Caenorhabditis elegans: one gene and its partner. The protein of the gene in region 1 interacts with the protein of each later gene in a biochemical or structural test. Each region holds a gene or a part of one and is shown on either strand. Other genes may lie near its edges.

Region 1 (7,975 bases):
TTTATCCGGGACGTTTCCCAAATTGAATGATTGCTCGGATCCTGAAGCTAACGACTGTGTAGATGAAGCACGGGACAATGGAGTATCTTCACGACTTCCAACATCATCACTGAGCACGAGACCTTTACCTCCACGTTTTTTCGATACATACTACAAGATAAATTGGTTTAAAAATTAAATCCCAAATCAAAAACTTACAGCTGAGACAACCATAACTTGATCATAAAACTTCAACTCTTCAGGATTCGCATTTTTCGCGCGATCAGCATGCTCAGACTTTCTGCAAAAATTGTATTATTAAAAAGACCTGAACAAACCAAAAAAATTTAAATTATACTTAAAAGTAATAGTAGCAGTTCCACAATTTCTGGAATGCTTTGGAAGTGTTCCGAACACTGATGTCTTTTTCTCTTCGCGAGGCAGAATGCAGCTGGTTATCTGGAAATTTAATTTTAAAATTTTATATTTAAATGATAATTAAAACAACACACTTTTCCATATTGAGAAAAGAAGGATTGAAGCTGTGATTGGGTGACTTTAGCAGAAATATTCGAAACCACGATTTTTCGATCATCACGAGAAGTATGTTGGAAAGCGATAGATGCATCGAAATCTGAAAAAAAAAACAATTATTGATTTTTTTTCCAAATTTTAAGATTTATTACCGTCTGTTTCTCCTCCATCAAATGCATCTCCATCGGCGAGTAACATTGGTAAAAGTCGTCGATATTTCATAAACTCTGCGGCAGAGTGGGACCAAGTTCGCCTGAAAATATTTTAATTTTAATTTAGAAAAAACCAGAGCTAAAATGTTGATATTACCTCAATTTTCCAATACTGAAAAACCGTGCCCTTGTGACAAATGACTGAAATGCTTCAGTCATATCATGAAGCCCTCGGCTCTCCAAGTTCTGTCCATGAAGCCGGCGGAGTGCTTTGAACATACTCTGAAAAATTGAAAATGTGTGAAAAAAACGTTTTTTCGAGAGAAAAGATAACAGAACCATATGATTTGATTTGGCTACTGTTCCCTAGTGTTTTCTTATCACATTAACATTTATTTGGTAGACAAAAAATCGAATTGTGTTCTCTAACCTGTTGTGATTTAGCACTTCCAGCGCTCCCGAGGTTCGATGTGAAGCTTCGATTGAAATCCATTTTTTAGGTTTAACTGTTTTCTGAAATTGAAACATTAATAATAAATTTGAAAACAATTTTGATCGATTTTCACTAGTCGTTGTTCGGAGGAGGAATGGCGCATGTTTACCAGTGAGTCGGGTTAGAGATTATACGGAAGTGAAGAGACGCAGAAAACGGGACATTCGGATGCTTGGGGACACATTGGTCACTATGAAACGTTCAAAAGCACCAATTCAAAGAAAATCTAGAAAATTTGCAGTTTTTGAACAGCTTTTAAATTTAAAATCATGCTTTAAAAGACCTTGTTTTTTGTTAACTTTGAAGGCAAAGGGTATTTGCAATAACGATTTTACATTAACACAAACTTATATATCCATTTTTGGAAATACTAAAATAAATTCAAAAAAACACAATGAAACATATTTACAAACGAAATGAAAGCCGGCAGCTTCAATAAAATAAAAAATAATTGTTGAAAAAATATAATTAAAGAAAGCTGCACACTGTGCGGCACAATTGCGAAAAAGCGGGCCGCAGTTTGCATGAAAGACCACGCCCACTATTTTAGATTTCGAATTTGTTTTTTTACTCTAATTTTCTATTGTTCGAGTTTTTCGGAATTAAAACTGCTTTAAAGAATTATTTTATTAAATTTTTTATCTGTAAATTTCAGGATGGACCAGCTTGAGCACCTCTCACTTGTGAGCAAGGTCCTCAGTGAAGTTGAGAACCATTTTGGTGTCGTCGAAAAAGATGTCGCTGAGTTTGTTATTCATTTGGCTCAAGAGAATCCAACATTTGATAAACTGAAAAAGGCTTTGGATAGTCAGGGACTTGGGGATCAGGTATGTTGAAATATGAGAAAATTTAACGACTAAATTATTTTTTTAAAGGAAATTTCAAAATTATTTTAATTCAAGGTGTTTTAAAATATTTTGATGAATATCAAATATCGAGATTTAAAAAAAACATTATTCGTCTCATAAATATAAAAGTCTCGATATTCCTCTCTTTAATTCTAAATTTCAGTTTGATGATTCCCTCACTGCGACCATACTTCGTATAGTACAAAGCATGACTGCTGTTAAAAAGAAAAACAAGAAAGGTGGTGATTCAAAAGAAGATATCAAGGATTCACACAAAATTACATTGATTTCTGATGCAAAAGAAGAAATTAAAGCACGACTTCCAGCTCTAGCGATGGCAAATACTGCGAAAGAAAAGGAAGATAATGAAGATGATCTTATGGCTCAGTTAGAAAAGATGGAAGGCCGATATGAAAGTGAGGTACGTATCTTTGATATTTGAAATTTGTTAAAATAAATTTTCCATTTACAGAAACGTCTTCAAAAGGAATCAGATTCAAAACGAAACCGTTCAAGAAGTCGATCAAGGAGTCGTGATCGAAAACGAAGAAGAAGTCGTAGTGGTGACAGGGATCGTCGGAGACGTAGTAGGAGTCGTGAAGACAGAAGAGATCGAGATAGGAGGGATCGGGACAGAGACAGAGACAGAGGACGTGGGGATCGAAGAGGAGACGACAGACAAAGAGATCGGCGTGATCGACGAGATGATGGTGGTGCTAGAAAATCCGAAGTTGCAGAAATCGGAAAAATCTACGATGGTCGTGTAAACAGTATTCAATCGTTCGGAGCTTTCATCACACTGGAAGGTTTCCGTCAAAAACAAGAAGGACTTGTTCACATCTCCCAAATTCGAAATGAACGAGTTCAAACCGTCGCAGATGTTTTGAAAAGAGGAGAAAATGTCAAAGTTAAAGTTAATAAGATTGAAAATGGAAAAATCTCGTTGTCAATGAAAGAAGTCGATCAGAATAGTGGAGAAGATTTGAATCCACGCGAGACCGACCTGAATCCGGATGCAATCGGAGTTCGTCCACGGACACCGCCAGCATCAACTTCCTCGTGGATGAATCCTGAAGCAAGTGGAGTAGGACAAGGTCCTTCGACCTCAATTGGTGGTGGAAAGGCGAGAGTTCGAATTTCGACACCTGAACGGTGGGAATTAAGACAAATGCAAGGAGCCGGAGTTCTCACAGCCACAGATATGCCTGATTTTGATGAAGAAATGGGAGTTCTAAGAAATTATGATGGTGAGTATTTTATTTATGATCTAGTAATTAATGATAAATTTGAAAAAAAAATTATTTTCTCTTGAAAATCACTAAATTATTTTTGAATTCCGCGCAAATGGTGCTTTATTTTGCTTACCGTATTTCCTCTATTAGTCTTGCACCCCTACGGGTCAATCTAAAATTAGTCTTGCAGCCTCTATTAGTATTGCATGCAAGACTAATAGAGAACATACGGTATTAGTCTTGCACCCCTATTCTTGCCAGACCAGCAGTATTTTGTGAAAACTTCAACAATTTCGCCATTTTATAGCTAAATTAAATTTTAAAGTGTTAAAATAATTGATAAAACAATAGAAAAGTATGTATTTTGCATGATTTAGACTGTTTCAAGTCAAATTTGTGACGATAAATGGCCAATTGAACAAATCTATCGGGTCTTCGAAAATTAGTCTTGCAGCCTCTAATAGTCTTGCAGTCTCTATTAGTCTTGCACCCCTACGGGTCAATCGAAAATTAGTCTTGCATGCAAGACTAATAGAGGAAATACGGTATATGATTTTTTAAAAATAATTTATATTTAAAAAAAAAACTGCAAAATTTTTTTAATTGAAAACAATTTCAATTTCTCTTGAAAATGACTAAAAATGATGTTTTACAGACATTTTTCCTTAAAAATTGACAGTAATTTATCGTTTTTAAGCCGATTTTTTATTTTCAACAAAATTTAAATTTGGTTTTCTTTACTGAAAAATGCCAAAGTATGACAAAAGATGCATCGGAGAATAAATATCGAATTTAGCCTGAAAAATGCGAATACTTTACAATTACGGCAATAATTTTCCCGGGAATTCAAATAAAATTAAAAATTAAGCAAGATTGAAAAAAAAACATGAAAAAAATGATGGTATAAAATTTATGATTTAATAATTTATCAAGAAAAATTGTAAAATTTTTTGAATTAAAACAAATTAATTTTTCCTGAAAATGACTAAATTGTTTTTGAATTCGCGCACGCAGACATTTTTCCTCAAAAATCGACACTAATTTATCGTTTTTAAGACGATTTTTTAGTTTCAACAGACAAGCCAAAATATGACAAAAGTTGCATATATCAAAGGAAAAATTTCGAATTTAGCAGGAAAATGCGAAAAATTACAAGGAAATGATTTTCCCGATAATTCAAAGACAATTTTTAAAAAAGCTAAATTTAAAAAAAAATCATTAAATATTTAAAATAAAGTTTCTATCATTTAAAGCACAACAATTTTTCAATTTTCAGATGAAAGTGATGGCGAGGATATTGAAATCGAGCTTGTCGAAGACGAACCTGACTTTTTACGTGGATATGGAAAAGGCGGTGCAGAAATAGAACCTGTAAAAGTTGTCAAAAATCCGGATGGTTCATTAGCTCAAGCAGCTTTAATGCAAGGTGCTCTTTCAAAAGAACGAAAAGAAACGAAAATTCAAGCACAACGAGAGCGTGATATGGATACACAGAAAGGATTCAGTTCAAATGCTCGAATTCTTGATCCTATGTCTGGAAATCAGTCGACTGCGTGGAGTGCTGATGAGTCAAAGGATCGGAATAATAAAATGAAAGAAATGCCAGAATGGTTGAAACATGTGACAGCTGGTGGAAAAGCGACTTATGGAAGAAGAACCAATTTGAGTATGGTTGAGCAGAGAGAAAGTCTTCCGATCTTTGCGTTGAAAAAGAATCTGATGGAAGCAATGATTGATAATCAAATTCTTGTCGTTGTTGGAGAAACTGGATCAGGAAAGACTACTCAGATGACACAATATGCAATTGAAGCTGGACTTGGAAGACGTGGTAAAATTGGATGTACCCAGCCTCGTCGTGTTGCAGCAATGTCCGTAGCAAAGCGTGTGGCAGAAGAGTACGGTTGTAAGCTGGGAACTGATGTTGGATATACAATTCGTTTCGAAGATTGTACAAGTCAAGATACTATTATCAAGTACATGACGGATGGTATGCTTCTGAGAGAATGTCTTATTGATCCTGATCTTTCTGGATATTCGTTGATTATGCTTGATGAGGCTCACGAACGTACAATTCATACGGATGTCTTGTTTGGATTATTGAAAGCTGCTGCTAGAAAACGTCCGGAACTGAAGCTGATTATCACTAGTGCCACCTTGGATTCAGTTAAATTTTCAGAGTATTTCCTGGAAGCTCCGATCTTTACAATTCCTGGAAGAACATTCCCCGTTGAGATCCTGTACACAAGAGAACCAGAATCAGATTACCTTGAAGCTGCACATATTACTGTAATGCAAATTCATTTGACTGAGCCACCTGGTGATGTTCTTGTGTTTTTGACTGGACAAGAAGAAATTGATACATCGTGTGAAGTTTTATATGAACGAATGAAATCAATGGGACCTGATGTGCCGGAGCTGATTATTCTTCCTGTCTACGGAGCTCTTCCAAGTGAAATGCAAACAAGAATCTTTGATCCAGCTCCTGCCGGAAAGCGAAAAGTTGTTATTGCTACGAATATTGCCGAAACTTCTTTGACAATTGATGGAATTTTCTATGTCGTTGATCCAGGATTTGTGAAACAGAAGATTTACAATCCGAAAAGTGGAATGGATTCCTTGGTAAGCATTTATGCACCCGTCAGGGATTTCACGAAAAAATTCGACCAAAAAACAAGACAAAAAACGAAAAAAAAATTTCAAAAAACACGAAAAGCGGCTAAAAAAACGAAAAAAAAAATCAATTTTTACCAGAAAGTTCAAAAACCAGGAGAACAAGTTTTTTCGAAGACGAAAAACGAAAAAATAATATTTTGCCAAAAACAAAAAAAACTCGGATTTCTTTTTAAAAAAAACTTTTTTTTTTTGGTTTTTGTCTTAAAAAAAACGAAGAAAAAAATCCATTTTTACCAGAGAGACCAAAAACAAGAAAAAAAATTTTGTTCGAAGCGAAACAATTTATTTCGCCAAAAACAGGAAAAAACTGAAATTTTATATTTTTGAAATGTTTGAAACGAAAATTCTTATTATTTCAAGAATAAATATTTGTAGAGTTATATTTAATTTTGAGTGTAATGTTTTGTGAAAAAAAGTGGAATAAATATTTTTTCGCCTTTTTTTAACAAATTTTTTTTCGAAAAAGTGAATCATACATTTTTCGCCTTTTTTCATAAATTTTGATTCGAAAAAAAAGTGAAAAAAAAATGTTTTCACCAGAAACTGAAAATGATGCAATAAAATTCAATATTGTTTGCAATTAGACGAATTAAAATTATTAGCTACTCAAAATAAGATAATTTTTTTCGAGATATTAAAAAACAATTTTCTGATAAATAAGAACGAAAATACAATATAAATTTCAGGTTGTCACCCCAATCTCACAAGCCGCAGCAAAGCAACGATCAGGACGTGCAGGACGTACGGGACCTGGAAAATGCTATCGTCTCTACACAGAACGTGCATTCCGTGATGAGATGCTTCCGACACCTGTTCCAGAAATTCAGCGAACAAATTTGGCGTCAACACTTCTTCAGCTTAAAGCTATGGGAATCAATAATTTGATTGATTTTGATTTCATGGATGCTCCACCTCTGGATTCAATGATTACTGCTCTCAATACACTTCACACGCTTTCAGCACTTGATGGAGATGGTCTTCTCACGAAACTTGGTCGTCGAATGGCTGAATTTCCATTGGAACCATCACTTTCCAAATTGTTGATCATGTCTGTCGATCTGGGATGCTCAGAAGAAGTTCTTACGATTGTGGCAATGCTCAATGTGCAAAACATTTTCTATCGACCTAAAGAAAAACAGGATCATGCTGACCAGAAGAAGGCGAAATTCCATCAACCAGAAGGAGATCATTTGACACTTCTAGCGGTTTACAATTCATGGAAAAACCATCATTTCTCACAACCATGGTGTTTCGAAAATTTCATTCAAGTGAGAAGTATGAAGAGAGCTCAGGACATTCGTAAGCAATTACTCGGAATCATGGATCGTCATAAACTTCTGATGGTCAGTTGTGGACGGGATGTATCGAGAGTTCAGAAGGCTATTTGCTCTGGATTCTTCCGAAATGCTGCAAAACGTGATCCACAGGAAGGATATCGAACATTGACTGATGGACAGAATGTTTATATTCATCCATCATCAGCATGTTTCCAACAACAACCAGAATGGGTTGTATATCATGAACTCGTCATGACAACTAAGGAATATATGAGAGAAGTAAGTTTATTTCAATTTTATATACGGAAAAGTACTGTAGGCGGAAAACACAAAAATGTCGAAACTAGGCCATTATGCTCCCTTTTGAAATATTTTCAAAATTTGAAAAAAAAATACAAAGTTTAGAGAAATTATATACATTTTTAAAATTCATATTTGGCATATGGAGACTTTATTCTTTCATTTAGGGCCAAAAACTATTTAAGTCTAAATAAGAAATTAAATAAAAACCTAATTTTCAATTTCCAGGTCACCGCAATCGATCCAAAATGGCTTGTTGAATTTGCACCGTCATTCTTCAAAATCGGAGATTCTACCAAATTATCAACATTCAAACGAAACCAGAAAATCGATCCGTTGTTCGACAAGTATGCAGATGCAAATGCCTGGCGTATCACACGTGTCAAGAAGAGGATATACAATCCCAACAAATAATCAGTCTCCTGTGTTTCTTATCGTTTTTTTATTTTTTAATATTTAAGTTATTCATTTTTGCTTCTTTTTCTGA
Region 2 (5,689 bases), on another chromosome or scaffold:
AACCAACGTTCACTCCCTTGCTATCGAAACTGCACCTGTTGCGATTTCGTGGCGAGACCCGAGGAAATACTCAATTAATAAATACAACGGTGTCAATCCCACATTGACTGATCTTGCAAATATCTTTCTTCATTGTGTCACTTTTTTTCAGAAATGCAGTTTTTCCATTAGTTTATAGTGCCCAGCGAGTAGTATATCCTCAGAAATGTTGATCCTCATGATTATAAGGTCATTATCGTTTCAAAACATGAATAGTCATAACTTTTCTCTCACAAACTTTTCGAATGTATCCTAGAACTGCTGAATCTCACAGAAACCTAAATTACGAAATCAGGTTCTAATTTTTATCAAAAATTTACAAACCTACGAGAATTCGATTTAACTTGAGAATGAAGAAAGACGCCAACTTCAATTGAAATGCACCGAATTTAGTTCAGGTTACTATCATTTGTATTCTAGATGCAAAGGAATTCACACTTCCAGCTGATATAGCGCTGATCCTAACACGATCCTTTCAACATCTTAGATTTTCGTTTAATGTTTAATCGGAATTTATATTTAAGGCCTGTAGAAATTTCCTAGAAAACGCTATAGAAATATTTAGCTGATTCTCAAGTTTTAGGAACGGGCGTCTTCCTGGTAGAAGATAGTTCGCAGCCCATAAAGACAGCACCCGGCCTAACCGACAATGGCGGTTATGAATTTTTAGACCATTTAAGGTTATGATGGCGAGACCACAACAACCCGTCGCCACGCACGTCACGCTCACAAAACACTCATTCATGCGCTCACGGAACGCTCACACACTCATGACATACACACATCATTTCGCCTCACACACCGCGCCGTCGCCATCCGCACCGCCCGGGTGGGACGTGTTCAAACTTTTCGGTTTTCGTAATTAATAGTGAGCCCCGGTTTATTCGCTTTGAGAATCAGTATAATGGATATATCAGATTGTGTAATTAGGTTGCGTGCTTGAACTTTTAAAATTAACTGTTTTAAATTTATCTGCCTTTATCGTTACAGTAAATCATTTTGATGAACTTTTCGGATGAATCATAATGAAGTACGCAGCGCTCTAACAAAATGTGTTTGTAAATTCCAATTGCTACAAGTTGCCCGGCTTATTTTTTGGTGATTGAAGCATGATTCTGTTGACGCTCCCGACGCGGAATACCAGGACGGACCGATGAGAGAGTACTGCCAGTGAAGAGACGCATGCGAGCAGGACGAGTGCTGCTCACCCTTCTTCTCAGCGTCGGCGGCTGCGACCAGCGGCCGAGGAAGGGGAGGAGAGAGGCCGATTTGGCTGCGTACCACGTTTGATACTCAGTCACTTACCACAGCTGGTTCTCTTGTGCGTTCAAATCTGGCTTGCCGCGCGCGCGCATTTTATTCCTACCAGTTTGAATCTCCCACCTCTCCGACTGTAACTGTCCTAATTTGCTTCCTTCTCATCACTCTCTCTTTGCCTATTTCTCACTATCTAGACTCTATTTTTCCAGAATGGTCACCGCCGACGAGACGGTACTCGCCACAACGACCAACACCACTTCCATGTCTGTGGAACCAACGGATCCGAGAAGCGCTGGTGAATCGTCCTCAGATTCGGAGCCAGACACAATTGAGGTGAGGAAAAGTTTTGGGAATTTAAATCTGAATAAAACGTTTTCAGCAGCTGAAGGCAGAACAGCGCGAAGTGATGGCCGACGCGGCGAATGGTTCCGAAGTCAACGGAAATCAAGAGAACGGAAAAGAGGAAGCGGCATCTGCAGACGTGGAAGTGATCGAGATAGATGACACCGAAGAGTCTACGGATCCCTCACCTGATGGATCTGATGAAAACGGTGATGCTGCATCTACATCGGTTCCAATCGAAGAGGAAGCGCGTAAAAAGGATGAGGGGGCTTCCGAAGTGACTGTGGCATCATCTGAGATTGAACAAGACGATGATGGCGATGTTATGGAAATCACTGAGGAGCCGAACGGAAAGTCGGAGGATACTGCCAACGGAACAGGTGTGTTTTATAATTTTACCAAGTTTAATTTTAACTTTCTATTTTCAGTTACTGAGGAGGTGCTAGATGAAGAGGAGCCAGAACCTTCCGTAAACGGAACAACTGAGATCGCTACAGAGAAAGAGCCAGAAGATTCTTCAATGCCTGTCGAACAGAATGGGAAGGGTGTGAAGCGGCCTGTCGAATGCATCGAACTCGACGACGACGATGATGACGAGATTCAGGAAATTTCTACCCCTGCCCCAGCTAAAAAAGCTAAAATTGATGATGTCAAGGCGACAAGCGTTCCAGAAGAGGACAACAATGAGCAGGCGCAGAAGAGATTGCTCGACAAGCTGGAAGAGTATGTGAAGGAGCAGAAGGATCAACCATCCAGCAAAAGCCGAAAAGTTCTGGACACTCTTCTCGGAGCAATCAATGCGCAAGTTCAAAAGGAGCCTCTGTCGGTTCGGAAGCTGATCCTGGACAAAGTTCTCGTTCTCCCAAACACAATATCATTCCCACCAAGTCAAGTTTGCGACTTATTGATTGAGCACGATCCCGAAATGCCTTTGACGAAGGTTATCAACAGGATGTTTGGAGAAGAAAGACCAAAGTTGAGTGATTCCGAGAAACGAGAGAGAGCTCAGCTGAAACAACATAATCCTGTTCCAAATATGACAAAACTGCTCGTGGACATTGGACAGGATCTCGTTCAAGAAGCTACCTATTGTGATATAGTTCACGCGAAGAATCTTCCAGAGGTGCCAAAAAATCTTGAAACCTATAAGCAAGTCGCTGCGCAGTTGAAACCAGTTTGGGAGACATTGAAACGCAAAAATGAGCCGTACAAGTTGAAAATGCATCGATGCGACGTCTGTGGATTCCAGACGGAATCAAAGCTGGTTATGAGCACTCACAAGGAGAATTTGCACTTCACAGGATCCAAATTCCAGTGCACCATGTGTAAAGAGACGGACACGAGTGAGCAAAGAATGAAGGATCACTACTTGTAAGTTTTTTTTTTTTCATCTTTCAATATTCATTTAATTACAGCGAAACTCATCTTGTTATTGCAAAATCGGAAGAGAAGGAGTCCAAGTATCCATGTGCAATCTGCGAAGAAGACTTCAATTTCAAAGGTGTCCGTGAGCAGCATTACAAGCAGTGCAAGAAGGACTACATTCGCATTCGAAACATCATGATGCCGAAGCAAGACGATCATCTCTATATCAACAGATGGCTCTGGGAGAGGCCCCAATTGGATCCCAGCATTCTTCAACAGCAGCAACAAGCTGCTCTTCAGCAAGCTCAACAAAAGAAGCAACAGCAACTTCTGCATCAACAGCAAGCAGCACAAGCTGCAGCCGCTGCGCAACTCTTACGGAAGCAACAATTACAACAGCAACAACAACAGCAACAGGCTCGTCTTCGTGAGCAACAGCAAGCGGCCCAATTCCGGCAAGTGGCTCAACTGCTGCAACAACAATCAGCGCAGGCTCAACGTGCACAGCAGAATCAAGGAAATGTGAATCATAACACTCTGATTGCAGGTAATAGCTAAACATATTTTAAATAAGTATTTTGTATAATTATTTATATTTCAGCAATGCAAGCGTCGTTGCGTAGAGGTGGTCAACAAGGAAATTCGCTGGCAGTTTCTCAACTTCTCCAAAAGCAAATGGCAGCTTTGAAGTCGCAACAAGGAGCTCAACAACTTCAGGCTGCGGTGAACTCCATGAGAAGCCAGAACAGTCAAAAGACGCCAACACACAGAAGTTCGAAACTTGTTACTACGCCGTCTCATGCTACTGTTGGCTCTTCTTCAGCTCCCACGTTTGTATGCGAAATTTGTGATGCGTCAGTGCAGGAAAAGGAGAAGTATCTACAGCATCTTCAGGTAATTTTAAGAAACGTTTCTATTTCAATTTCAAAACCGATTATTAAATATCTTAAACATCACATTTTCAGACTACTCATAAGCAGATGGTTGGAAAAGTGCTGCAGGACATGTCGCAAGGAGCTCCACTGGCATGTTCTCGATGCCGTGACAGATTCTGGACTTATGAAGGGTTGGAGCGGCACTTGGTGATGTCGCATGGTCTCGTCACTGCTGATCTGCTCCTCAAAGCGCAAAAGAAGGAAGACGGAGGTCGATGCAAGACATGCGGCAAGAACTATGCGTTCAACATGCTTCAACACTTGGTAGCTGATCATCAAGTGAAGTTGTGCTCGGCTGAAATCATGTACTCGTGCGATGTGTGCGCGTTCAAATGCTCGAGTTATCAGACTCTGGAAGCCCATCTCACTTCAAATCACCCAAAAGGAGATAAGAAGACATCAACACCAGCAAAAAAAGATGATTGTATTACTCTGGATGATTAATAGGAAAACGAATGGCTTATCCCGTTCTACGAATGAGTGCTGGAAACATTCTTCACAATGATCTCAATTATTTCTCTTATTCTTTACATTCAATCATTTTAAATCACCAGTTCTCCCACTTTCATTGATATACACATTCTATTGCGGGTTCCGGAACCGAAATCAATCAGTACTTTACTTTATTTCCCCAATTTTTCTCTTCATGATATCTGGTTTATTCTCGCATCTTCCCCTACCTTCAAAACTCCCTATTTTTTTTTCAAAACCTAACTACCCCACAATTATCATGTAAAATCAAATTGCAATTCCCCATAAGACAGATCAGTATACACTTTCACTTCATACGTCTGTTGTTCTCCCCCATCTCATACTTTTTTTACCATTTGTCCAGTTAAGATTTTTGGAAGATATCTATCATATAAATATTATCACCTTTACAAACCATTCTTTTTGAAACTATTTTCAGAAATAAGATTCAGATTTTCTCATAATATTTGGAGGAATCTATTTCAACAGATACGAAAGATATTCAGACAAATGACAGACTCCGTTGAAATCTGTGCTGCTGTCATCACCGGTTTTGAAAAAGTTGCAGCAAAAGAGGTAAATCCTGAAAACTAGATAAAATATCTTACTCGAGTTCCTTCAGATTTCAAAATTATTTTCGCCTAAAAAATGCCATCCAGGACGTGGAAATGTAAGATTTTCAATAGATCTGGAACGTGTAAACGAGACTCTGCAACTTCGATCAATCGATAATCTTTATATGGTTTTTTATGAAGAAACAATTGAAAAGCTGTCTGAAATGCAAAAAGAAGATGCATTGAAAACTATTCAATCGCAAATTTCATTTTGTAACTGGAAATTGGCAATTGAAGCTTATCAATTGGCACGTGGAAACGCGATTAACGGAGGAAGTGAAAAGATTTTGAAACAGATTCAACAATTTAAAAAAGATCGAATATATAGTGAAGTTACGGACGATTCACCCAAGTTTAGGTAATTTTTGAAATCAATATCAAAAATCCTTATTAAAATTTTCAAAAAAAATTAAAAATTCGAAATTTTATTGTGGTTTTAAACTGAAAAAATTTGGTACATCTCACAAAAATTACAATTCAAAATTTTAGTTTTGAAATAAAATTTCAATTATTTTTTTTCCTAATAATTTTTATTTTTCAAAAGTTATGATGACTTTTTTTTCAGAGTAACATGCAAACGATGTGGAGAGAAAGAGATTCACAAATTCAGTTCAATGGATGCTGCTTCGAAGTTTGGAGCTGAAATTAATAATGCTTTTGGTT

Evidence for each region.
Region 2: the proteins of mog-5 (region 1) and mep-1 form a complex in vitro, tested with the Caenorhabditis elegans proteins (one study listed by BioGRID).

Annotation. Positions count from the first base shown.
Region 1 is NC_003280.10:5,397,725-5,405,699, forward strand, and holds the start of mog-5 (putative pre-mRNA-splicing factor ATP-dependent RNA helicase mog-5), read left to right. Parts: upstream 1-1,813; 5' UTR 1,814-1,814; coding exon 1,815-1,985; intron 1,986-2,169; coding exon 2,170-2,427; intron 2,428-2,478; coding exon 2,479-3,253; intron 3,254-4,514; coding exon 4,515-5,857; intron 5,858-6,597; coding exon 6,598-7,467; intron 7,468-7,716; coding exon 7,717-7,902; 3' UTR 7,903-7,975. Other genes in the region: fbxl-3 (Putative RNA-binding protein EEED8.10), read right to left, coding at 1-150, 199-280, 338-438, 492-613, 666-766, 823-947, 1,096-1,158.
Region 2 is NC_003282.8:11,523,134-11,528,822, forward strand, and holds mep-1 (MOG interacting and ectopic P-granules protein 1), read left to right. Parts: upstream 1-1,508; 5' UTR 1,509-1,509; coding exon 1,510-1,632; intron 1,633-1,678; coding exon 1,679-2,021; intron 2,022-2,069; coding exon 2,070-3,012; intron 3,013-3,056; coding exon 3,057-3,553; intron 3,554-3,607; coding exon 3,608-3,900; intron 3,901-3,971; coding exon 3,972-4,385; 3' UTR 4,386-4,821; downstream 4,822-5,689. Other genes in the region: thum-3 (THUMP domain-containing protein), read left to right, coding at 4,923-4,988, 5,035-5,384, 5,592-5,689. UniProt on the Caenorhabditis elegans protein: Has a broad role in development, specifically in the genetic pathway SynMuvB that negatively regulates specification of the vulval cell fate. Required for fem-3 3'-UTR-mediated repression in the regulation of the sperm/oocyte switch.